Linked DNA regions of Pelodiscus sinensis. Each later gene encodes a partner of the first gene's protein in a complex. Links are inferred from orthologs where the notes say so. Each region holds a gene or a part of one and is shown on either strand. Other genes may lie near its edges.

Region 1 (9,298 bases):
CACTTGGAAATTTTACTCTAACTATAGTCCTCAGTAATCACATGAGCGCATATGATGCTGGAGACAGGGAATGACCCAGCTGTCACTATCAGCTGAAGGCAGTCAGACTTCTCAAATGCAGTCAGCATTTAGCTAGCTCCCAAGCCCAGCAACCATGGTCAGCCATGGTGACATTCTGTAGTGTAGACTGGGTCTGCAAAGTTATTAGCTCATGCCCAGTTCCTCTCTAAGGCTACGTCTACCCTGAAGCGCTAATTCGGGATACCAGAGTATCCCAAAATAGCTATCCCACATCTTCACAGCAAGATGTGGAATAGCTATTTCAAAACATAACAGACTCGCTATTCCGAAATCCCTGTAAACCTCATTCCACAAGGAATAAGGGACGTTTCAAGATATTCTGAAATTTGGCGCAAAAGTACGAAATAAGCTTATTTCAAGCTATGGTGCTATGTAGACACACCCTAAAGGTTTTGTTTAGAATAAAATATAGCAATATGATGTTAGCTCAAACTACCCAACTCAACCTAATTAACTGCTTCTAAAAGTGTAGTCAAAACAAAGCCACTGTACTTACATGATTAGCTTTTTCTAAGCAGATTTCTACACTTTAACTGGACTTACTGAATGTTTCAGGCCTTGTCTAGACCAGAATGTAAAGGTATGATGTTCGCACTGGAGCTAGGCAGGAAACAATTTTCCTGACCCAGGAAAATTTTTGAGATTTTGAAAAATACTCTCATCCTGAATCTAGAGCTGTTTCAGAAAAAGGCTGCTTCTTCGCAGAATGAGGATTACCAATGCCGGAAAAACCCCTCTGTTCTTTTGATTTTCCTGAGGAAGAATGCAATTGCAGTTTTGACATTCCTCAAGTTTTGTTGGAAAAACAGTTGTTTTTCTGACAAAACTCTGTAGCATAGACATACCCTAGGTGAAAATTCAAAATCTGGCAAATGTACATAAATTGGAAATGCAACAAATGTCTCCAATCAAGTCAATTACAAAATTTAATTTCAATATCTAGTGAAAGAGCAGAAAATTAATTTCACCTCTGTATTAGAGATGTGACTGGGTAACAGTTAACCACCTCTCCCTCTCCCCATCTTTCCCCTTTAATCAGTTAACTGGTTAAACTTAATATTTAACCAGTTAACTAATTAAATGGGATTTTACATCCTACTCTTTACTTGGCACTGGTAAGACCGATGCTGGAATACTGTGTGCAGTTCTGCTGCCCACAAATCAAAATGGGTATAGATAAACTGGAGAAGTCCAAAGAAGAGCCACAAGAATGATTAAGGCTTAGAAAGCCTGTCTTATAATGAAAGACACAAGCAGCTCATCTATTTTGTTTAACAAAGAGAAGACTAAAGGGTGACTTGAGTACAGGCTGAAAGTACCTATGTGCGGAATAAATATCTGATAATGGGCTCATCAATGTAGCACAGTTGTTTTCAACCTGTGGTCTGCAGGCCCCTGGAGGTCTGCAGATGTCTTAAATTTCCAAATGGGTCAGCACCTCCATTTGAAATGTTTAGGGGCCTGCAAATGAAAAAAGGTTGAAAATGAAAAAGGCTGCAAATTTTCAAAATGGAATTCTCACAATTCCAAAACATTGTTTTCATTTTTTTTTCAAAAGGGGAAAGTCTAACAGCAACAGTTTCAATTTAGAAATATCAGTATATCTGACATTTAACTGAAAACTTCAAACCCAGCTCAATTAGTGTGTGTTAATGCTTTAAAAATTGATTCTAGACAAAGCAGGTTGCCCTCTAGGGGAGAACTTCTACAGCTTACATGGTCAGGTACAAATTGTCCTGTTTAGAGAACTGACAGATGAAATTCAATGTTGACAAATGTAAAGTAATGCATATTGGAAAACTCAACTTGGCACATAAATGGAGTCTAAATTAACTGGTATCATTCAAGAGAACTTGGAGTCATTGTGCATACGTCTTTGAAAACATCCCTTCAGTGTGCAGCAGCAGCCAAAAAAGTGAATAGAATGTTGGGAATCATCAAGAAAGGGACAGATAAGACAGAAAATATCATAATGCCTCTATATAAGTTCATGGTAAGCGACATGCAGATGTGGTCACCCCATCTTGAAACAGATATATTGACATTGGACAAGGTACAAAAAAAGCAACAAAAATGACTGGGGTATGGAACAGCTTCCACACGAGCAAAGAGAAGACTGCGTCTCTTCAGTTTGGGAAAAGAGACTACTACCGAGAGATATGGTAGAGATCTATAAAATCATGACTGGTATAGAGAAGAAAGTGTTATTTACTCCTCATAACAGAAGAACTCAGGGTTACCCAATGAAATGAATAGGCAGCAAGTTTAAAATAAAGGAAACATTTCTTCATACAACACAAAACCAGTGGAATTCCTTGCCAGAGGCTGTTGTGAAAGCTAGGACTTTAACAGGGTTCAAAAAAGAGCTGGATAAATTCGTGGAGGACAGGTCCATCGATGGCTATTAGCCAGGACGGGTAGGAATGGTGTCCTCTGCCAGTGTGTGTCAGAAGCTTGATCATTCCCTGCTCTGTTCTTTCCCTCTGGGACACCTGGCATTGGCCACTGTCTGGGCTAGAAGGACCTTTGGCCTGACCCAGTCTTGCCATTCTATGTTCTTATGCTGGGGTTTTAATATGTTACCTACTGTGTTGAAAAGCACCTTGAAAGCAGATACAGAAAGCAAGAAAGCCATCAGAGCATAGGAAAGGAGTATCCAAAATATGTGTGAATCCAAAGCAAATTAACTCAGAAGCACTAGAAAGGGCTTTGCTCACATGCTGCTGTCTTGGTGCCTCCTGGGGGTGACGAAAAGCATCCGTGCAGGCCGGGCACTGCTGGCGTCAGGGTGGGCACTCCATGGCTTGGCATAGCTATGGTCCAAGAAGACGAGGTCTAGCTCTCTCTCATGGACAGAGAGCTGGAAGAGCAACGAGGTTCCCATCCTCCTGGCTGAAGTCTGGAAGTCCCGCTCAGTGCCTCGGTAGGTCATGTCTTCTGGGTCGTCCCAGCATCTAGCGCCAACGTAAATGCCTCTTCCGGCTCCTCATCCTGGCCTCCTTGCACTGGGACAGGACAGGAGAGGGAGGGTGAACATGCTGCAGGAAAAGGGCCCTGCTGTATTGACCCAGCCCCAATAAAGCACAAAACAGGACAGACCCCCACCTCGCCAGACAGCCTGGGGCCCCTTAGCGTGTGTGCAAACTGCTCCAGCCCCAGAATGCCCCCAGTCAGGGCCCTCCTGCTACGAACTGGCACCACCACCACCCTGCCCCCCCAAGCCCCCTGCCCTGCCCCCCGCTCCCATCCCCCCAAATCCCACCCTGCCCCCCCAAACCCCCCGCTCCCCTCCCCCCAAATCCCACCCTGCCCCCCCAAACCCCTTGCCCCCACCCTGCCCCCCGAAACCCCCCGCTCCCATCCCCCCAAATCCCACCCTGCCCCCCCAAGCCCCCTGCCCTGCCCCCCGCTCCCATCCCCCCAAATCCCATCCTGCCCCCCCAAACCCCCCGCTCCCATCCCCCCTGCCCCTCCAAACCCCCCGCTCCCCTCCCCCCAAATCCCGTCCTGCCCCCCAAACCCCCTGCCCCGCCCCCCGCCCAGGCGCGCCGCAAGGGGGGGGAGCAAGGTCCGGGGGGGTCCTGGGGGGGCAGGGCGCTGGGGGAGGGTTCGGGGGGGGGCTCCGCTCCGCTCACCCGGGGCCGGCTCCGCGCCTCAGGCTCTCGCCGTTCCACCAGGCCTCAGCCGCCCGCCCGGCCCCGCGCACTGCGCAGGCGCCGCTCCCGCAAACCCCGGAGCCCGGACCTCGGAGCGGAGCGCGCGGCGCTGACACATGCCGGAGAGCGGATCGGCCCCGCGCGGAGCGGAGCTGGGCCAGGAAGGCTGAATGGGGGAGGCTTGTCGCAGCGCAGCCACGGGGCCTGCTGGCCAGCCCTGGTGCCCCCCCCCCCCGTGTGAGCCGAGCTCTCTCCCAGCCCCGGTGCCCCCGTGTGAGCCGAGCTCTCTCCCAGCCCTGGTGCCCTGATCACACTGGTGCATGAAACTCCGGGTGCACAGAGCCCCAGTCACTTAAACTAGTATCTTGGTTTCAGTGAGTTAAATTCCGGAAACCCTGGTGTTCCTGGCACCACCGCCGATGGCGAAATAGGCAAATACTGGGGTAGGGCCTCCCCGATGCCAGGGTGAGTGCGGGGCAGAATCCCGATCCCTGCTCCCACCGAGGCTGCATCGACCCCCCCCAAGCCGGGGGATGTGGTGCAATGCAGGGGATAGGAGAGACCCACAAATACATGCAACTGCAAACAGCGCTTCCATGAAGGGATCCCATCCAGGAGGGTCTCTTGTATGTAGCACTCTGGAATGGTTACTTGATGAAGGGTTAAGAGTGTATTTTAATTATAAATCGGCTTAGAAACACTGGTTAAGAAAATGTACAACCCTGAAGAGCTCTATCATGTATTCCAGGGGTTCCCAAACTTTTCAGAATCACACCCCCTTTTTGATTTTTGAGAAACCCTCACACCTGCCCCCCCAAAACTTGTTGAGCAAAAAAAAAAGAAAGGAACTGACCAGGCCCAAAAAACAGTCGTGGCCCCTTTGATTCCCAGGACCTGTGTAAAAACAAAGGTACCAATACTCCAGGTGTGTGTTCCAGTGGACACCCAAGCCAGGAAAAATAGAAAATACTGGACATTTCACATGGTATTTTCTGAATTTTTTTTACCAGACTGACCAGGCTCTTTCTTGGGGGAGGGGCGGGGGGAGGTTGACGGGGGGGGCTGGGTTGCCTTGCGCCCCCCTGGAATCTCTTCACACACCCCAAGGGGGGGCATGCCCCCCAGTTTGGGAATCTATGATGTATTCCATAATATATTTCATGTTGTATTCAGCAGGACAGCTGACTAATCCCTTTACTACAAACTTTTTGCAAATAAACCTCTGACAAACCTCAGGGTATATCAAAACACATGTAACTGACATTTTTTATTCACAAGTTTAGTGCTTTCAGTAAGGTACCGTCTGCTTGCCCAGTCTTCACCACCTGGCATGCAATGGAAAACACGCTCCATTTTCTTCAGAAAGACAATGCAGAAGAGTGGGGGGGGGTGATATCATTTGTTTCATTTGGGCTCAGGGATTTGGGTGGAAGAGGATGAACAGGGAGTGGGAGGGAAGAGAAGAAGACAGTGGGGTGAGGGCGTGGCCTGGAGGGGAGAAGGGGTCGAATGTGTGTTGGGCACAGGGAGAAGATGAGGGTAGGAAGGTCACCTCCCCAGCAGAAGCTTCACCCACCACCCTGCGTTCAGTGTTTGCATAGGTCCCCCAGCAGCCTCTTACTCTGCTTAGGGAGTTTCCACAAGCTGCTGAAATAAGCAGTAATTGGATCTTTGTTTGACCAACTGCTACCTCCAGGGTTCTCACACATTAGGCAAGTCTTACACTGGCTATGTGGGCTAGGTACATTTCCAGGGAAGGAAAGGACACCCAATGATTATTAGTCTATCATGTCTCCAAAACCTTATCAGTGACTCATAACACAGAACAAAACTTCATGTTAAGAAAGAGGGTGATTTGCCCACCAATTACATGTAGCCAAGTCTGGAGGGTAGCTTGGCCATTGTTTAACAACTCAGATCAACACTACATGATGTCTTAGGTCAAAGTGAAAAAAGCATTGTATCCAGTGGAAGCAGCAGGCTGAATGCAGACATCAATGTGGGAATTTGTTCAAGACACCAAAAAATGTCCAGGTACTACCAATAGCCAAGGCAGTCAGCACCTCAGGTTTTATCTCCAAAGCCATAGCATGGGATCAAACAGCTGACCCTCGCTGATCTATGAATGGAAGCCTCTTTCTTTCCTATTATGGCATCACTTCCTAGATGCACTATTTGGCCTTTTCCTCTATGTGATGTCATGCCTCACTCTGATCTACTTCCTGGAAACGGAAAGTGCATTCCGTACAGACAGGACTTCCAGTGAGACAAAGCCACAAAGCGGCATTCGGAGGTAAGCTGTAAACACATGAGTTACTGCTACTAACAACCCACTGACAGGACAAAAAACAGGGATGGGCAGAGTAAAGGGGAAAGAAGGAAGTACTGAAGGGCTTGTATGGTTACAGAATAAAGTCATTGGCTACGAAGAAGGGAGAGCATCAGCAGAGGTGGAACAGAAATGCTGCACCTCGTGGTTCTGTCTGCCAACATCCCCCCTGCAAAATTCACCACACCTGACTCCCACGTGTCTGCCACCTTCAGAGGTAACAACTATTTGCTCCCTATTTCCCTGGAGATAAGTCGATAACCCTTTGCCCGTCTCAGGTGCATTTTGTCTCTGCACATCAAGGGCCTCCTGCTGTTCCGAGCTGAGTGGTACGGAGGCAATGAATCTACTTAGTACTGAAGGACAAGACAAGAAGCCGCCCTCCCCCCCCCCATGAGCTGTGCAGCGGGGTTTGTAACAAGGCAGGGCTTCCCCCTTCTCGACAAGGCCTCCAACACACCCATCTCTCTTTTCTGCTGCTTTCTTGTAGTGGCTTCAACAAAACCTCCCCCTGGCTCCTCCCCTTCGCTCTCCGGCTCCCACAGCCGCCCTTCCCGGGAAGTCTGGCAGTCCTGCTGCGCCTGCTTCTATGCCCTGTTCCACACCCAGGGCTTTTCTCCCTGGATGCCCCTTCCAGATCAGGTCTCAGGCACTCTCTTCCTCCTCGCCCAGGGGCCCTGGCAGCCTCCAAACTCCCCTTCAGCTGGCCTCCCTTTCCCCGGTGCCCTCAATGCTGGGTCAGCTGATGCAACCCACCTGCACTGGCCCTGCTCTCTGAACAGCCTCTGTGACTTTGTGGGGGGAGGCTTGGGGGGGGGGAGTCTCCAGGATTGCCCGGGGTTAGGGCCTTCAGGAGTTAAAGGGGCTCACAGGAGCATTGTTAAGGCATCTGCGCCAAGCAGAACACAGGTCAAAACCAAAGCCAGGGAAGGAAACGTACCTTCGTAGGCACGAAGGCCGAGATTTCAAAGTGTCTGAGAGATTCAGATGCCTCGATTTTATGAAAATGAAAGGCAACTGGCCCTCCAAATCCCTGCCAAAGTTTGAAAGTTTAGACTTGTGTGTCATCTTTGACCGTCAGGGCAGGCCCCTGGCCTGCAGGGCAGACTAGATGAACATAGTGGCCCATTCCGGCCTTGGAACCTAGGACTCCACGGCACAGCCTGGCAGTGGAAAGCTGGGGGCATCCGCGGTATGTCTAATCTCTCCTAGATGTCACAAGGAGCACCAGAGTCGTGCAGAAGGAGCAGAATCCCACCTGGAATGAGGTAAGACTCAGCTAGCAAGCGTGTTCCCCCTCTGCTCCAAATGTGGCACATGCGCGCAGGCTGCCCCGAATCTACCAGACTGATGTGCAAATTCTGCTTTGTCGGAGGGTGATTGCACTGGCGTGTACGTGTGGGTCAGTCCACCCCTCAGACCTCTGGGCCAGTCTACACGCTGCTAGCCCATTGGTCAAGTTTAGGCTTGAAATGAGGTGAAGATTTCTAGCCAGCAGAGGGGTGAAGGTCTGGAACAGCGCCGGACCGAGCCATACTTGCACCCTGGGCAGCTGCCCAGCTAACCCCCGCTTAATCCGGCCTTGGTCTGAAACAAGCTCCCAAGGGGAGCAGTGGGGGCAAAGACCTACCTGAGCTTGGTAAGTTTATGGCAGGACGGATGCGCTGCCCCCAAAGGCATGGAGCTGACCTATGACTGCTACCAGCAAAGATCTGCAGTGGCCAGAGATGGGACACAGAGTTACTGCAAAGGATTCCTTCCCAGCTATCCGCCTGGTGGGTCTTGCCCACATGGGCAGGGTCTAACTGGTTGCTGTATTTGGGGTCGGGAAGGAATTTCCCCCTGGGTCAGATTGGCAGAGAAACTGGGATGAGGGAGAGTCACCTTCTTTGCAGTGTGGGGCACAGGTGTGTAAATGGCCATTCTGGGTCAGACCAAAGGGCCATCTCGCCCAGGGTCCTGGCTGCCGGCAGCGGCCAATGCCAGGGGCCCCGGAGGGAGAGAACAGAACAGGGAATCAGCTGATCCCACCCCGTTGCCCGTTCCCAGCTTTTGGCAAACAGAGGCCAGGGACACCCTCCCTGCTCATCCTGGCTAATAGCCATTGATGGATCAGTCTTCCATGGATTTATACAACTCCTACGTGCACCCTTCGCTGGATTTCAGAGCCCACGCACCAGCCGGACTGGGAACTTTCCCACTGCTATTCTTAGCGCTGTCGCTGAGCCCTGGGGGCCTGCGTCTCTAGGCCCAGGCTCTGGATTTACTACTGCAGGTGTGTCTTCGCAGTGTAGACATACCCAGAGAACTGGCCAACGTGGTGTGAGAGGTCAGGTCACAGAGATCCCCTTGGGACTGTCACCCGATGTGCTAATCATACCACTGAGTCCACCTGCCTGCCCTCGGGGGCGCCCCACCACCTGTCCTGATGGGCCAGAAGCTCTGGCCTCCCCCAGCCATGGCACAGGGTTGGAGTAAGAGCCCCCCCAGCAGAGTAATACAGACACTGAGAGCAGCTTAGGGGAGGGGGGGGCTCAGTTACAGGGACTTGCCAGCACTTGGGAGCATGGCCCCAATGAGACCAAACCCCCAGATAAAGCCACTTGATTCCGTATAAAAGTTCTACGCAGAGAAAGATCAGGTCAGTCCCCGTCGCCAATGAGAGATGCCACCAGCTGTTCCTCCGCCCCCAGGCAGCAGTTACTGGCGCTGGATGACAAACAAAAGTGATTTTATTAAGTGGGATCCGAGTGGCTGCAAGCGATGACAAATCAGCCCAGTAACTTACTTGGAACCAACAGGCCAGCTGAGCCCAGTGCATGAAGAAACCTTGTGAGACATGACGCTTTGTAACTCCAGACCCTATCTCAGGGGAGGTCCAGGTAGCGGAGTTAACCCAGTGTCAGTGCGACCAGAATTGGCCCCGCGGCGCCAGGTGATGGGCATATTGTGCTGCTTCTCCTGCAGACGCTGGTGTGGCTCCTGGCAGATCAGCCCCTGGACTGCGCCTCCTTCCTGGACGTACAGCTCCGGGAGTGGGGTTGCCCAGCTACAGAAAGGTGAATCGCCAAGAGCCAGTAAAGACTGAGCCTCTTGGGCTCTCTGGGGGCTGGTCCCTCGTGTTCCCACCCTCCTCCACCCACACATACTCCAGCATTTCCCTTCCAGCCAAGGAGACTGGCGTGGGGCGGGGGGGGGGGGGTTCTCCCTTGTTGCCCCTTCCAAAGCTTGG
Region 2 (9,794 bases), on another chromosome or scaffold:
AGTCTCTGTTGTGGCTCAGGTTATAATTTCCCAAACTCCCAGTAAACTATCTCTACTGGTGTTCGGGAAACCCTCTCTTCTGCACTGAACTCTGCCTGTCTTTTTAATGTTCTCTTTTAACCTGGAGCTGCACTGTCCCTGGCCAGGGAGTCTCAGTCTGTGTGGAGTTCTCAGCCAGTACCAGCCTCATCTGGCTTTGGGTGCAAAACTTTTATTCCCTCTTTACCTATGTAACACTGAGACTCTCAGCAGGGGTTTGGCCGTTGCTTGACCTGCACCTTTTGTGGCACATTCACTATCTCTTTAATCAAGCCATTAATGAGGTTGCTTCTTTTACATCACAGACACTTTGTAGCTCTGCCCTTTTTGCTATTAATGATTTTTTTTAGCAGGTGAGCAGTTTACTGCTTCAAATGTAGCCGCCTCAGGGGTTGGATGGAGAAGACCCTTCATAGGGTTCAACATGCAGGGGTTTCTCTGGGAGTGGGGGGCGGGGTGTGTCTTGCTGTTGTCTGGAATAAAATCTATTTTAATGGCTACATTTCTAGCACTTCCAACTGCCACTTTCCCGCTGGGATTGATGCTCTGCTGTCTTAGCCCTCGGCCATAAACAAGTGAATTTCATGGCCAAGCTGCAGGAATTGTATTCCCATCTAGACTCTACATGAAAAGGCCAGTCTTTCAAAAGTGCCCAGCACCGGACTTGAGATCGCTCATGAAGCTAGAATTTGGAGGGTTGTGTAAAACATCCAGCTGTATTAAATGAAGGGGAAAACCCAACAGTACTTAAATGTATCACCTTCACCACATGAGCTTGCAAATCCTGCATAGTTCATGGTCTGAGAGGCCTGGCTTTGCAGGTGTTTGTGCTGTATGGTGGATCCTGTTTAAAGAAAGGGGCCTGGGTTAGGATGTGGAGCACAGAAATTCTGGAGAAACATCTGTTCTCTAGGTTTCCTTTGCTTTTGATTTAAAAAAAAAAAAGTTCATAAGACAGTACAAAAAGGTAAATGACTAAAAGGGGTTTCCTTTTTAAGATACAGTAAGAGTTCAGCTTAAATCACGGAGAAACTTTCTTCTGGCATTCCTGCCCAAAATGGATCTTGCATCCCAGATGGAAAAAGAGCACAATGCACGGAGAAATCATTAGTGTTTCAGGCACTCTTAAATGCATGAATTCAGTGTCTGTTGTACCATCTAAAATTGCCTCTAGGTTTTATCCAGGTGTCTTAATGTGTTCATGTAAGAGAGCAGAGAATCTGACTTCTGATGTACTATGGGCTCAACTTACCCATTCTTCCTATCGCAGGCATCAGTGGATCAGGAAATGGAAACTGGAGGCCCTGACTTAAACCCCTTTGACATTCTGTGGTGACTCCGGTATAAGCTGACTTTCCTTCTGGCAGTGGAAAGAATGGCATGGGTGTAAGTCACTGGCTGTTGGAGGTGGGGTGGGGGCTGCTCTACTTGCAAGTTGCTTTTCCTGCAGTACCCTTTTCTGTGTAAGTTACCTGGCTTCCTCACCACTGAATGCTATATCTGCAAAGGAGGATACTCCATCATACTCACTCGGTGTGAACTGTAAAATGCTGCTGAAGTTGGCAGACGGGTGTTCCGATCTTATCTTCCAAATCCGACTGGAAAGTGGGGGTAAAAGACAGGGTGTGTGAAACCTCTGCAGTGAGGGAAGGCAGCAGTCCTGCCTGAATTTTCCACCCCACAGATAATCTCTGGCAGTGGTGAAGCTGCTCACTCTCTGGTCAGACACACCAAAAACATTTTGAGTGTGAAGATAGCAACCCTGCCCCTAGTAGCACTCCATGCGTTTTCCTCTCTGAGCACCTGTGGTCTAAAATTCTTTCATCCTTTGGGGAAGAAAGGGTGACTGGCAGGGGTGAGGGAGGAAGGGTAATTTAATACTATTCTGAACTGTTTATAAATATTTAAACTGTGGACACTTTTAAAAAAGAGAAGTTTGCTACAATTCCATGGTAAACTCATTTCCTTCAAGATACGGCTGTCTGGGAAGGGCACAACTGGCCTGAGTCTTCAGAGCCAACCACCTTTGGTCTGTGAAAGGGATGCTTGACAGCATTCAAAGCTACTGGTGCTTCACAACACCTTTGTACTAGAGGTTCTTGGGGTGGGTGGGTGATACAACTGTGCTGTTGCTAAGCTTTCTTTCTACAATTACCTAAAACGCAGATTGGAGTCCAATGTCACTTTCTTTTTTTAAACCCACATCAAGCCAAAGAGCAAAGTCAATGTGTGTTCTGATCTCACACTCAGGGTCTGCCTTATGGTTGCAAACTGACCGATTTTTTTTTTCTCCCCCTGCCCCCCTTTCCACCGCCGCTGTTGCCCTTGTCCTGATACCTACTGCATTCTCTGCCCTCTTTCCATCCCACCCCAATACAAAATGTGATGACTTTCAGCAAGAGCGTCTTGTGCACAAACAAGCAGGAAACTGGTTAACCAATTTGGCATCAGGTGTTTGGGATCTTGCTGTCAAGTATGTTCTCTGTATTTATCCACATCAATAAAAGTTAAAGGCAAAGGAGTCAAAGAATTCATCTGCTTCTTGGTTTTGTTTTTTTAAACTGGTAATTGCTATAATTCTGAAGGAAAAGTAGGCTGGCCATGAGGTTAAGGCATGGATTTAAAAAGAGAGACCGTTTCTTTTCCTGAGTCTGCCCTAGACTTTGTGGCCATTTCTTAGTTTCCTATAGAGAAAGGGGATTGGAGTGTCAGCCTCTTGTTAAAACACTTGGAGAAAAAAATGGTGTGTAACTACAAGAGGAATACCCCCCTAGCTGATTTCATCTGTTTGTGTGTGTAGAAAAATAGGAAGGGCTCTTACATGCCATTGAAAAGTAATTGCAAAAGTGTGTTCTTACTCTCTTGTGCATAATTCACTATTCAGCCTTCATTGCAATGAAGGCTGGATACCCAGTCATGAAAAGGAATTCCAGTGTGATGAGGTTCACATTGAATTTATAGTTGAGGACCATGATGGCCAATGTATTAGCCACTAGCCGTGTGTGGCTGTTTGGCCGGCTGAGTGTGGCTTGTTTGCTGAAGTGGCTACTGCTTCAGAACTGGTTGAACACAATGTGTCTAGGAGGAATAGCTCAAACCCTAGTTTGTACATTAAACAGCTGGAATTTTCTTCCCTTCCAATGTCTCTGATAATGGTTCCAGACAGGGCTATTTTGTCCAACTAGGCATGGCTCCCATAGCCAGGGTTGCCTAGTTTGGCTAAGGCTGTGAAGTCACTGTTCTCTTGATAGCCTTTTAGCACCTCTGAAAGGATGGGCTGGTCTTAATCCACAAAGTTAACCTGTCCGGGTTTGACTCACTCCCCCCACCGTAGTTCTGAGAACTAGCTGCAGCCATGGTACTGGTTATTGGGGGTCCAAGTTCTTCAGAGTCAAGTAGAGGCTGGCAACTTTTTTAAAGTGGGTGGTGGGGAGAAGAAGGAAGAGAAACAAGCCCAGCAATAGGCTGCTGGGGCCCTGTCCATAGGGGCTGCTGCTGTGACACAGGAGCGGTTGACTCTAGTAGAGGAAAGGAGAACCACCACTTATTTGTGCACTTGGACCTGCTGTCTGAAGCCACACTGCATAGAATCACAGGCTGGCCTCCTGCTTGGGCCTGATGAACTCAATCAGCAAGCAGGCACGGGGAATGTCTGTCTAATGAGAAGGGGTGGCTGAGCCTCAACCCCACTGCCCTGAGTAAGGGAAGGGACTGTTCAGCCAGACGTTACTCCCTTTGCCTGGAAGGGTCCCTTTGGGTCAGGAGCAAACCGAAGTGCAGAAGGGATAGGGAAGCCATAGAGCTGTGGTGTCCAACAGGAAAGCCACTAGCCACATGTGGCTATTTGGCCGGTTGAGTGTGGCTAGTTTGCTATAGCAGTAGCCATTATGGAACTGGTTGGAAGGGGAGCGTTACTGCAAGAGCAACTGGGAAGCAGCATAGCAGCTAAACTTGCTCTATGATGGTCCATCTAGCCAGCATCCTGTCTTCTGACAGTGGACAGTGTTCATTCCAGAGGGAATAAACTGGTCACCCATTCCTAGCTTCTGACAAACAGAAACTAGGGACACCACCCCTGCTCGTCTTGGCTAATAGCCATGGACCTAACCTCCACTTTTTTTTTCTTTTTTTTTTTGGCCTTCACAGCATCCTCAGGCAAGGAGTTCCACAGGCTGACTGTGTTATGTGAAGTGCTTCCTTTGGCTTGTGTTAAACCTGCTACCGGTTTGTCCTTCCAGCCCTGAGTTTAGGCTAGGCAGATCACTGTGGGCAGCAGCAGAATTGAGGCCTAGAGACAGACAGATGCACCCAGAGCCAGGAACTGGATCTGACTTGGCCAAGTCCAGCCTCATTTTCTCTTCCTCTTCAAGAATTACTGTGGCTGTGTCTAGACTGGCCAGTTTTTCTGGAAAATCAGCCGCTTTTCCGGAAAACCTTGCTAGCTGTCTACACTGGCTGCTTGAATTTCCGCAAAAGCACTGACTTCCTACTGTAAGAAATCAGTGCTTCTTGTGGAAATACTATTCTGCTCCCGTTCAGGCAAAAGTCCCTTTTGCTCAAAGCTTTTGCACAAAAAGCTCACACAGCTCAGATTTGTTTTCCGCAAAAAAGCCCCGATCGCGAAAATGGCGATAGGGGCTTTTTTGCGGAAAAGCGTGTCTAGATTGGCACGGACGCTTTTCCGCAAAAAGGGCTTTTGCGGAAAAGCGTCCGTGCCAATCTAGATGCTCTGTTCCGAAAATGCTTTAACGGAAAACTTTTCCGTTAAAAGCATTTCCGGAAAATCATGCCGCTCTAGACGCAGCCTGTGTGTTTAGTGAATGAAAGAGCTCTGGATGCCCAGCTTGGGGACACCACATGCCCCAGGCAGGGGGGGCTGGGCTGTTTCATCACCAGTTTGCCTATGGGTGCTTTTGGGGAGGGGTAATGCCGCAGGATTCCTCTGCTTCAAAATGCACCCCAACCTATAGCCCCATCCCTTCCCCCGCCAGCCCAGCCTCTCCACCTCCATAGCCATCCCCTCCCCACTCCTGACCTGCCCAGCTCTGCCTCCCTCTTCCTTCCCCTCCATAGCCATACCCTCCTGATCAGCCCAGCCCCATCTTCTGCCCTTTGCTTCCTGCCCTACTTCCCCACCACCATCCCCTCCCCTTCCTGCCCCCCCAGCCCAGCCTCTCCTGCCCCGCCCTCCCAACAGTAGTCCTACCCCATGGTCCATACCCCCTCCTCTCTCTCCCCCTGCATTACCCACACCCTCCAGCCCTTCCCCCACTCCTCCCCCTCCCCTCCCCTCCCCTCCCCTCCAGCCCTTCCCCCACTCCTCAGAAGCCTGCTCTCCCCGCCCCCCCTCCCGTCCCTGCAGGGGGCTGGCCTCGGCTCCCGGACTGATGGGTCTCTCCTCCAATGGCCGCGACGGGGCGGCCTCCTTCCCGTTCCTGGATTGGTGGCGAGTCTGGCCAATGGTGCGGCGGGGGCGGGCGCCAGTCGGTCTAGGCGCGGGCGAGGTAAGATGGCGGCGGTGTTTCCTTGCTAGGCCGATGGCGCGGCCCCCCCCCCAGGCAAAATGGCGGCGCTGAGGGGGGAACCTGCGGGGAGTTAGGGGGACCAGCCCGTAGGAGGCAGGGGGCAGAGCCTGGGGGCGGCCTGTGTTCGGGACCGCCTGTGGGGGTGGGGGGAGTCAGAAGCAGCTGGGGGTCAGCCTGTGGGGGGGGAGGGGAGAGCGGCTTGGGGGTCAGCCTGTGGGGGGGGGAGGGGAGAGCGGCTTGGGGGTCAGCCTGTGGGGGGGGAGGGGAGAGCCGCTTGGGGGTCAGCCTGTGGGGGGAGGGGAGAGCGGCTTGGGGGTCAGCTTGTGGGGGGGAGGGGAGGGGAGAGCGGCTTGGGGGTCAGCCTGTGGGGGGGGGAGGGGAGGGGAGAGCGGCTTGGGGGTCAGCCTGTGGGGGAAGCCCATGAGGGGGGCTGGGGAAAGTTGGGGGGGAACCATCCTGTGAGGTCTGCGGTCCAGGGAAGCAGCTGGGGGGGGGGGTCTGCCTCCCCCAGGGCATGTTTCAGATTCACATTCCCAAGTGGGGTTGGAAGCTCTTCAGGGCAGGGACACAGCACAGAGCCCGTGACTCTGGCTGGGGCCTCCCCTTCCTTTCCCGACACCTGTCAGGGCCTTAGGGTGGGGGTGGGATTGTGGCCCCTGAGCCCACGGCAGAATGTGGTGGGTGAGTCTTGGCAAAGGGGTGTCCTAGTTCTCTGTGGCAGGGGTGGGATGCAGGTGACTCTCACCCTGGAAGGGGCTATCTGGAGAACAGACCCTCCCCTTCCATGTTTTTCCTCCTTGCTGAGGAGACAGTCATGGCACAAAAAATGTGCCTGGGTCTGAATGGCAAAGAGTCTGAGTTGGGCCTCTCCCCATCCTCTTCTGTTTTGGGACCTCCACTGCCAGACAGCACAATGTGAATGCAGGGGACGGAAGTGGCAAAGTGACCAGAGATGCCATGAAGCTCCCACCTCCCAATGAAGAGCAGAATAAACCAAGACTGTAGGAAGGATTCCCTCGTCCTATTCTGTCTTGTAGTACTGAGGTGTCTTATTTTGTGCCAGGACACTGTCTGTATAGCACAGGGATTTATACCAACACTTTGACAAATTATTTGGTCCCTTTGATGATGATAACAGAGGCTGATCAGTTGTACTAGCTTGTGGGGTTTGCTCTAGATATAACAATTATCTGTACGTGTCTGTTGCATGTGTAGGCATGAACAGAATCCGGATCCACGTCTTGCCATCAAGTCGGGGGCGTGTTACCCCTGTGCCAAGGCCCCAGGAACCCTTGCCTTGTGCCTTCACACACCGTCAGTGTTCCCAGCCTCGGCTGGAAGGGCAAGAATTCTGCATTAAGCACATCCTAGAAGACCGGAATGCTCCCTTCAAACAGTGCAGCTATGTCTCAACTAAGAATGGGAAGAGGTGTCCAAATGCTGCTCCCAAAACTGAGAAGAAGGACGGGTAGGTGCTGGTAGAATTAAAGTGGCTTGGCAGGAATATCTTGTCATGCGAAGTATCAATCCCATGGCTAAGGCACAATACAAGGAGCCAGGAGTTTTAGTTTTAGTCCTAGTTAGGCTGCTTTCTCATTGTGGGACCTTGAACAAGTCAGTCTGTCTTTAGCCATCTGCAAAGTGGGAGTAATTATCTGATAGAGGAATTAAAAGTTCATTAATGCTTATAAAGTGCTTTGAGATCCTTGGGTGAAAGGGGCTGGAGAATTGTGTAATGTTTGTTTCCTGGTGCTGGCATCACTGCAGATTTTTATCTTCAACAGTCATAGTGTCAGTTTGGAAATAAGTACGCCCTCTGAGATCACAAATATTTGAATCCCCGGAATTTTGAGTGGAGTCCTTGTGAGGTAAAGATGTTCAGCCCTATGCACGTGGGTCATTAAAAATCCTAGTATCAGTTTTTTGTAAGAGGGAGGGCTTGACCTCGTCCCCTCATCTTACTGCTAGGCCATGTGGCTGCCACCTTCATGGCAGAGGTAACTGCATTTCAGTGGTTGTGCGTGTGGTTTGTCAATCATATATTCTTTAATATATTAGGAACTATACAAATGACTGTCAGAGTTGCTTGAATTTATCATTGTGTTGGAGGAAAGAAGTGGAGATGACTCCTTTTCTAAGCCAAGTGCCAGTGAATACTTTTCACTATATTGCTGTGTTTGCCTTGCTGATTGGAAGCTATGAATTCTGCGAGCCATACAACATTTTGTTTTGTCCCCGCAGGGTATCATTCTGTGCTGAACATACCCGCAGAAATGTGCTGGCACATCAAGCCCAGCTGAAGAAATCCAGCCCTGGACCTATGGGCGAGACTCTTCTTTGCCAACTTAGCACTTATGCAAAGACGGAGCCGGGCTCCCAGACAGCAGAAAGCAGCCGCAGTGAAGCTAGTCGAATCCTAGGTAAGAGTTTCGAATGAAACAGATGAGAATAAATGAATTTGGGGGAAGCTGCGCTCTCTGGGGCTAAAATACAAGAGGAACCAATAACACAGTCACCCAATTAAGAGGAAAAGGAACAATCCCAAGGGATCTGTGGTAAAAAACCATTGTGTCTTAAGATAGACTGTGCTTACTGGTCTCATCACTGGACCCTAAGTCAGGATCTCCTGGTGTTACCCTAGTTAAGCTACGCCTTTCTGGGCTTAGGTTTTCCCCTCCTGTAAAACATGGGACAATGCATCCAAATGAATTTGTGAAATTTAATTAGTAAACATCTGTTCAAGTGCTCCTCTTACTATCCTATCTGAAGAATACCCTTACTACTTCAGCTTGCAGGTTCTGTGCCCTATACAGTGGCTCTCAACCGTTCCAGAGTACCATATCCCTTGCAGGAGTCCGATTTGTTTTGTGTACCCCCAGGCTTCACCTCATTTAAACTTACTTGCTTACAAAATCAGACACTATTACTGAAATAACGCTATTACTGAAAAATTGCTTGCTTTTTCATTTTTACCCTGTAATTATAAAATAAATTGGAATATAAATATTGTACTTACATTTCAGAGTATGGTATAAAGAGTAGTATAAGCAAGTCATTATCAATATGAAATTTTAGTTTGTACTGACTAGTGTTGTAATAGTGTATCATAGAATACTAGGACTGGAAGGGACCTCGTGAGGTCGAGTCCAGTCCCCTGCCCTAATGGCAGGACCAAATACTGTCTAGACCATCCCTGATAGACATTTATCTAACCTACTCTTAAATATCTCCAGAGATGGGGATTCCATAACCTCCCTGGGCAATTTATTCCAGTGTTTGACCACCCTGACAGATAGGAACTTTTTTCTAATGTCCAACCTAAACCTCCCTTGCTGCAGTTTAAGCCCATTGCTTCTTGTTCTATCCTTAGAGGCCAAGATGAACAAGTTTTCTCCCTCCTCCTTATGACACCCTTTTAGATATCTGAAAACTGCTATCATGTCCCCCCTCAATCTTCTCTTTTCTAAACTTAAACAAACCCAATTCCTTCAGCCTTCCCTCTTAGGTCATGTTCTCTAGACCTTTAATCGTTCTCGTTGCTCTTCTCTGGACCCTCTCCAATTTTTCCACATCTTTCTTGAAATGCGGTGCCCAGAACTGGACACAATACTCCAATTGAGGCCTAACCCCAGCGCAGAGTAGAATGGAAGAATGACTTCTCGTGTCTTGCTCACAACACACCTGTTAATACATCCCAGAAACATGTTTGCTTTCTTTGCAACAGCATCACACTGCTGACTCATATTTAACTTGTGGTCCACTATAACCCCTAGATCCCTTTCTGCCGTACTCCTTCCCAGACCGTCGCTTCCTATTCTGTATGTGTGAAACTGATTGTTCCTTCCTAAGTGGAGCACTTTGCATTTGTCTTTATTAAACTTCATCCTATTTATCTCAGACCATTTCTCCAATTTGTCCAGGTCATTTTGAATTATGACCCTATCCTCCAGATTAATCGCAATCCCTCCCAGTTTGGTATCATCTGCAAACTTAATAAGTGTACTTTCTATACCAATATCTAAATTGTTGATGAAGATATTGAACAGAGCCGGTCCCAAAACAGACCCCTGCGGAACCCCACTTGTTATGCCTTTCCAGCAGGATTGTGAACCATTAATAACTACTCTCTGAGTATGGTTATCCAGCCAGTTATGCACCCACCTTATAGTAGCCCCATCTAAGTTGTATTTACCTAGTTTATTGATAAGAGTATCATGCAAGACCGTATCA

Evidence for each region.
Region 2: KANSL3 (region 1) and KANSL2 share a complex: the UniProt entries of both Homo sapiens proteins name them as parts of the NSL complex. The link is inferred for Pelodiscus sinensis from reciprocal best matches to the Homo sapiens genes KANSL3 and KANSL2.

The regions. Positions count from the first base shown.
Region 1 is NC_134738.1:5,844,207-5,853,504, reverse strand, and holds the start of KANSL3 (KAT8 regulatory NSL complex subunit 3), read right to left. Parts: upstream 3,859-9,298; 5' UTR 3,717-3,858; intron 3,087-3,716; 5' UTR 3,014-3,086; coding exon 2,799-3,013; intron 1-2,798. Other genes in the region: FER1L5 (fer-1-like protein 5), read left to right, coding at 6,199-6,283, 7,279-7,334, 9,034-9,125. UniProt on the Homo sapiens protein: Non-catalytic component of the NSL histone acetyltransferase complex, a multiprotein complex that mediates histone H4 acetylation at 'Lys-5'- and 'Lys-8' (H4K5ac and H4K8ac) at transcription start sites and promotes transcription initiation.
Region 2 is NC_134729.1:5,181,728-5,191,521, forward strand, and holds the start of KANSL2 (KAT8 regulatory NSL complex subunit 2), read left to right. Parts: upstream 1-5,411; 5' UTR 5,412-5,543; intron 5,544-6,779; 5' UTR 6,780-6,781; coding exon 6,782-7,032; intron 7,033-7,805; coding exon 7,806-7,984; intron 7,985-9,794. UniProt on the Homo sapiens protein: Non-catalytic component of the NSL histone acetyltransferase complex, a multiprotein complex that mediates histone H4 acetylation at 'Lys-5'- and 'Lys-8' (H4K5ac and H4K8ac) at transcription start sites and promotes transcription initiation.